Linked DNA regions of Oryctolagus cuniculus. The protein of the gene in region 1 interacts with the protein of each later gene in a pairwise test. Links are inferred from orthologs where the notes say so. Each region holds a gene or a part of one and is shown on either strand. Other genes may lie near its edges. The genes, in order: TFDP1 and E2F6.

Region 1 (3,317 bases):
TCCCCCCAGGTTGCTCAGGCCCAGGCACCGGGCTGCCTGTCTCCATCTGGTCAGCTCCAGGATCTCAGCTGGCTGTGACTGTGCTGAGGCCGCACGGAGGTGCAGGCCACCCTCTGGATTTCCCTGCATGCACAGCTGAGTGTCTTGGTCTCCAGAGGGGGTAAGTGCAGGGGCGGGGGCTTCAGACACAGTGGCAGGGCTTGTCTCCTCGCTACTGACCAGAGCACAGGCCTGCCCTGGCTCCACACTGTGTGCACCCGTGTGCACCCATGTACCCATGTGCGGGCTGTGCCAGCACAGCAGGCAGCTGCCTGCCAGGGCTGGGCGGGGGCTGCCGCTGAGCGAGGAGCCAAAGCTGAACCAGAAGTGACGGCCCTGAAGTCGCGGCCTCTCCAGAGCCCCAGAGCAGCGAGGAGGCGGAGCCGCGCCCCACCACCTGGTGCTTCCTGCTCCGACTCCTTTCCAGAACCTTCCATGCTGTCATTCCTTTCTGAAGGGGAAACCTGTGGAATTCGTCTCGACCTTTAGGGCTGAGGAAGAGGCCAGGGAGCGCACGTGCTGTGAGCCGCAGGGTGGGGGGAGGGGCCCTGGCCGGGAAAGTGAGATGGAGCACACAGAGCTCGTTGAAAATGCCCATGCGCGTTTTATTAATAAAAACTAACAGTGCCGAGTTAAACAAGTCAAACAATTAAAGTCTCTTTATATTCCATAAAATATTACAGAAAAGTCTATTTGTGTTTCAATAAAAAGACTATCGTTTCAGAACAGGCAGCTGACAGCAACTGAGCAGTTAATGTTTCTGTGAATAAATCTTAAAAGACACTACTGCCTGTCCTTAATTTCCTTTTCTCTTTATAAAAAAAGAACTATTAAAAATGATTGACAAATTTTGAGTTAAAAAACTGTTAAAACATTCTCTATGTTTAATTTCAACTTTATAATAGATTACGGAAGATGCTCAGGAAACAAATCCCACATTTGTTTCGGTACGTGTCTTTAAATGACAGACTCATAGGTATGTAAACAACTATTTAATAAAAAGTTTCCAAACGCAGCCTGTAAGAAATCAGGCAAATTTTACCATAAGCAACAAACCTTCCAGAGTTTCCGCAGCCGCCCCAGCGGGCAGTAAACGTTGCCCAGCAGACCAAAACGACAAACAAAAAGAAAGAGGACTTTGCAATTTGTTGCTGCAATAGAGAGAGAGAGAGAGAGAGACGTCAGCTTGATGGAGTCACACCAGTCAGTATAATTTACGGAGCACACAGTCACGGCAGGACGCATGGCGCTGAGTGTTCGCTTCCGTCTTTGGACATCGCATGATTCACAAGAGGAAAACGCATCCTGCATCCGCCCCCCGCCAGCCCGACGCAGGGCGCCACACGCCGCCGGCGCCCGCGGCCACGGCAGGAGAGCGTCTTATTTTCATTGATGTGGATGAAGTAAGATATCTTCAGCAAACTCAGCGAGAGCTGTGAAGGGGCAAAAACGGACTCTGAACTTTAAAAAGAGCTAGAAACGGAAAGCAGACGCCTGCAAAGCGAGCAGTGCCCTGGCGGCGGCCTGGGGCCTGCGGGGCCCTCTCGCAGCTCACCAGCATCTTCTTGGGGGAAGGCCAGAAAGAAACAGAAAACCCCACGCTTAAAAAAAGTCTCTTCCCTCGCCGGCTCCTGAAGCCGGATCTGCGGGGAAGGGGCCGGGACGTCAGTCCTCCTCGTCATTGTCGTTGAAGTCGTCGTCGTCCTCGTCGTCCTCCCCAACGTAGGACACGGGCGTCTCCACCCTGGAGCCGCTGTACTGAGACCCGTTGGAGCTCGTGGCCAGCATGCCGTCGGCACCGTTGGTCAAGTCGCTGCAGGGACAGGAGGCAGACGAGCGTCAGGCACGGCCTCCACCCAGCCTGGCCTCAGCCTCAAGGGGAGATCGAGTCCCACAACATGGAACCCAGCCCTGCAGCCCCCGGGCCCCCACCAGCCCCGTCCTCCTGAAGCGGCTGTGCATGGCTCAGGTCAGGCCCCAGGTGAGAGAGAAGCCACACATGCACAGGCTCAAAGACGGCAGCCACGGCAGGTCAGGATGCCCGGGTGAGGGGCAAGACCACCACCTGGCAACAGGGGTAGCACCCCCAAAACCTGCCACAGCCCAGAGCTGCCAATGTGACCGACTGAAGACGTTTCTCCAAGGGTCGAAGTCAGGACAAAGCAGTTAAGCTGCCCCGCTCCCCCACCACGTCCAGACCGCATAGCGGAGTGCCTGGGGCTGACTGAGTCCTCCCCGGCCACGTGCAGACCACATAGCGGGGTGCCTGGGGCTGACTGAGTCCTCCCTGGCCACGTCCAGACCGCATAGCGGGGTGCCTGGGGCTGACTGAGTCCTCCCTGGCCACGTCCAGTCCGCATAGCAGAGTGCCTGGGGCTGACTGAGTCCTCCCTGTCCGCATAGCGGAGTGCCTGGGGCTGAGTCCTCCCGCGCCATGTCCAGTCCACATAGCGGATATAGTGGAGTGCCTGGGGCTGACTGAGTCCTCCCCGGCCACGTGCAGACTGCATAGTGGGGTGCCTGGGGCTGACTGAGCCCTCCCGCACCACATCCAGTCCGCATAGCAGAGTGCCTGGGGCTGACTGAGCCCTCCCGCACCACGTCCAAACCGCATAGCAGAGTGCCTGGGGCTGACTGAGTCCTCCCCAGCCACGTCCAGTCCGCATAGCGGAGTGCCTGGGGCTGACTGAGTCCCGCCTCTGCTTCTGATCCTGCTCCCTCTGATACACCTGGGGGGCAGCAGCTGACACCTCAAGTGCTTGGGCTCCTGCCACCCACACTGGAGACCTGGATGGAGATTCCTGGCTCCTGGCTCTGGCCTGGCATTTGGGGAGTGAACCAGTGGATGGGAGACTCCTCTGTCACCCTTTCAAATAAATAAATAAATAACTGTAAAACACAAGCGAAAGACTCCACACAGGCAGGGCAGCATTAGGTCTGGTGGTTAAGCCCCGGCTGGCCAGGCCCTTCACGCCCCAGACAGTGACGGGCGGAGTCCCAGCTCCCACTCCTGATTGCAGCTTCCTGCCAGTGTGCACCTGGGGGGCAGAAAGAAGGTGGCCATGGAAGACGCAGACTGAGCGCACGGTGCCCAGCTTCAGCCCAGCCCAGCCCAGCCCCACGCACTGTAGGTGCCTGGGGAGTCAACCTGGGAGTGGAAGCAGCCTGCGCCTCCTCCTCCCCACCTCTCAGTTTTAAAAACGTTAACGGTTAACACAAAGCGATACTGCAAAGCATGAGCCACGCAGGTCAGTGAAACCATGGTTTGCTCTGTGGAC
Region 2 (3,809 bases), on another chromosome or scaffold:
TGGCTTTGGACTGGCCAAGCTCCAGCCATTGCGGCCATCTGAGGAGTGAACCAGCGGATGGAAGACTTCTTTGTCTCCCCCTCTCTGTCTGTAACTCTCTCCGATGAATAAATCCGGGGTGTGCGATGCTGGTGTCTTCACTGCTGGGCTAAATGACCACTGCCCCAGCACTAACTTTTAGTTTCATTTTTCCATAAACTTCTGACACCCCCTTGTACTATCACGCTTTTACTTATGGTCACTTTTGAAGACCTAATTTTGTATCTTAACTGTACGAGTTAAATCCCAGAGCGGCCCTACTGTACACAGGCACAGACGTGAAGGATATCTCTCGTTCTCCTTGTCGTCCGTCAGCTCAAACAGCTGCTGGGCGCAGTCCTTAATCAGCTCGTCCAACGCCTCCTCCATCGCCGACAGGTCGGAGAGCTCCTCCTGCAGCTTCTTCTGCTGGGGCACTGCTCCCAGATGGTGAAGGTCAGACCCTCTGAGAGACAGAAGGACCCTCACCCGCCTGGACCTCGGGCCCCCCAGTCAGCGACGGGACCCTCACTGCCGCCTGGACCTCGGGCCCCCCAGTCAGCGACGGGACCCTCACTGCCGCCTGCACCTCGGGCCCCCAGTCAGCGACAGGACCCTCACTGCCGCCTGGACGACGGGCACCCTGAGTGAGCGACAGGACCTGCTCGAGACGCGTTAGCTCTTCCCATGACGGAACCCGGGGACCGACTCAGCTCCCACCCTGGGTCCCAGACACACGGTGTTCTGCCTAGAAACTGGCCTGCATCCCACTTAGAGGCCTCATCTCAGCCAGGCCCTTTCCAAAGCTCATGCTGTAACTCCGCGGCGTCAATACTCGGCCAGGTTCTGTACTGAGGAGTCACGGCAGCCAGTGTAGCCCCAGCTCTGCCACACACAGCGTGGTGGGGCTCACCACTTCTCCCCAGGGGAACCACGCGAGCCGCTGGTGGCAGCTCCCCGCTGCAGTTCTGCCGTTCCCGACTGGTCACACGGATACCCAGGTGTCAGTGTGGACTCCAGGGTACGAGGAACAACTGACAGTCACTTCCCCCTTCGGTCTTCATGGAAAATAAACAGGGGAGACTGCTACCTGCTACCTTACCTTTCACTCTTCTTGCTTGCTGGTGTCCAAGTGTGATCCTAAGTCACGATCTGTTTTCTGATCTACTAAAGGCACCTCCTTTATGAAGCCCTCTCCTCCAATAGTTGAGCTCCGCGCATAAGAGCCGCTTTGTGAGCTCTGTTCAGACTCTGCAGCTGCCTGGACGGTCTGCACGGACGCCGCCCTGGGACTCTTCATCCCGATCCAGAACACCTGCCCGTCCCGAGCCCATAGCTCCTGCACATCACACACGCCCTTCTCTGCACGTCTAGCCGGGGTCTTGCTTCCACAGGCCCTTCCTAACTACATCGAGCGCTGAGCAGTTGCCTTCAGACTTCGAGTCTCCCTCCCTGCACTCAGGGCAGTGCACCCCAGGGCGAGAGGTGCTGCCCACCGCATCAGGCTCCTGGGGTAATACTGAGAATGCGCACTGCCGTCCACCCCAGCCAGAACCATCGAATCACCACTCACGCTGCCCGGTGAGAGCCGGTATCAGTGACTGACGGGAATGAAATGTTTTTACATCTCCTATAAACATCAGTTGTCTCTCGTGACCATGGAAAGCCAAAAACTGCAAACTAATATTGTTCCGTGTAATTTCTCACTAACACTGGAATGACACTGTGTCTGTGGCTCTTTTTAAGTCCCACATAGTAAAAAACAAAAACAAATAATGTGCTTTGTGGACAATGCAAGAAGTTCTTATGGACTGCTTTTCTAGTTAGAATCCTCTCTGACTCTGTTTTGTTGTCAAAACATCACTACTGGGCCGGCGCCGCGGCTCACTAGGCTAATCCTCCGCCTAGCGGCGCCGGCACACCGGGTTCTAGTCCCGGTCCGGGCGCCGGATTCTGTCCCGGTTGCCCCTCTTCCAGGCCAGCTCTCTGCCGTGGCCAGGGAGTGCAGTGGAGGATGGCCCAGGTGCTTGGGCCCTGCACCCCATGGGAGACCAGGAAAAGCACCTGGCTCCTGGCTCCTGCCATCGGATCAGCGCGGTGCGCCGGCTGCGGCGGCCATTGGAGGGTGAACCAACGGCAAAGGAAGACCTTTCTCTCTGTCTCTCTCTCTCACTGTCCACTCTGCCTGTCAAAAAAACAAACAAACAAACAAACAAAAAAACCATCACTACTATCTAGTGTGGTGTAAATATGGAATTGTCATGTGAGGAGAAAGGGAAAAAAGTACCCATGCAAAGTCTGAAACCAACTCACATCCAGCGAATGTGGTTCTTGGACTTTTTCTCCACCAGGTCGATTCCGTCGAGCACGTTGGTGATGTCGTACACTCTCCGTTTCCGCACCCCCAGTTTGGTTGCAACCTTGTTTAAGTCAAGAATACCCCCAGGCGCAGATCTGACAAGATCCATAAATTTTCTAGTTAAATAAACCAGTGATACATCAAAACGAGGTCTCTTCACTTTTAGAGCTTCTGGGAAACAAAATAAACACACGTGTGAAACTTTCAGTACCCTCCGGAGTCTGTTTCCTCGTGGTCAGAGGCAGACTTCTACAGCAGCCTCACACCCATCTCACACACAGGTCACAACCCATTTCTACGGAATTTCCCAAACTGGATGAAAAACGTACTGGCCACGCCAGGTCTAAATAAAGGTTTTACACTCAATAGATGCATAAATACGCAGCCGGTTCCCACTGTGAGCACGGATTTTTCAGGAGTTCCTGCATTCTATAGGACAGAGGACTGAGTTTGTATCTGCACCACTCTCAGGAATAGTTCGCAATGATTTCTGAAAATAAGTCTCTTGTTTTGTCCTGAAGTTAAAGAATTCTTTAGAAAGCAGGACCTGCCATCCGTGTCACAGGACATTCTTGTCCGATGACTTTGTTTGCAAGGCAGGGCAACACAGAGGCAGAGGCAGGGGCAGGGGCAGGGGCAGGGGCAGGGGCAGGGGCAGAGGCAGATCTTCCACCCACTCCCCAAATGCTTACAACGGCCAGGGCTGGGCCAGGGCTGGGCCAGGCGGATGCCAGGAGCCAGAACTCCGTACAGATCTGCCACACGGTAGCAGGGACCCAAAGAACTGAGCCACCACCTACAGCCTGGAGCTCTGGTGGAATGACGCCATGCCCCCACTTCTGCGTCGGCATGATGGCTGGGGCTGGGGTGAGGAACTCGGAGCGGGGCTGGTGGCTTCCTTAGGAGGCGCCGCCACATCTCTGGTTGTCAGGTGAGCCTAGACTGGACTCTGTGGTCTAGCTCAGCAGCCAAAGCTGGCAGACTGATACTGAACCTGACTATAACCAAGTCACTTAACCGCTCTGGCCCCAGGTCACTCGTGTAAAACAGGATTAAAACCACACCACTACCCCTCAGGGGCTGTGCAAATCTGTGCAAAGAGCCTCACACAGCGCCAGGCACTGCAGGAGCTCATCGAGGAGCTGGGGGTGGGCCGACGAAGGAGACACCTCAAGGTACAGGTGACCAAAGCAGGCGGCCAGCTGCGGCTGGGACCGTGCCGGGGCTGGGGAAGGGCTGAAACGTGGGCCTCTGTACACCACCTGCTGAGATCAGAGTGGATTCAGAGGGGCCCTGGGCGAGGCCATCTACAGCAGAGACTTGCAGAAGTACAGGGACGCGCCACCCTCAACCCTCACCCACGGCAGGGGTGGAGGGGAAAAAGGGAAGGGGAGGGAGGGAAGCCAGGAGGGCCCGGGACTGCCCCAAGCTC

What was found.
Region 2: the proteins of TFDP1 (region 1) and E2F6 interact in binary tests that used the Homo sapiens proteins (3 or more experiments, as listed by UniProt). The link is inferred for Oryctolagus cuniculus from reciprocal best matches to the Homo sapiens genes TFDP1 and E2F6.

What each region holds. Positions count from the first base shown.
Region 1 is NC_091440.1:466,331-469,647, forward strand, and holds the end of TFDP1 (transcription factor Dp-1), read right to left. Parts: intron 1,853-3,317; coding exon 1,705-1,852; 3' UTR 621-1,704; downstream 1-620. UniProt on the Homo sapiens protein: Can stimulate E2F-dependent transcription.
Region 2 is NC_091433.1:191,250,109-191,253,917, reverse strand, and holds part of E2F6 (transcription factor E2F6), read right to left. Parts: intron 2,549-3,809; coding exon 2,332-2,548; intron 485-2,331; coding exon 329-484; intron 1-328. UniProt on the Homo sapiens protein: Inhibitor of E2F-dependent transcription. Binds DNA cooperatively with DP proteins through the E2 recognition site, 5'-TTTC[CG]CGC-3'. Has a preference for the 5'-TTTCCCGC-3' E2F recognition site.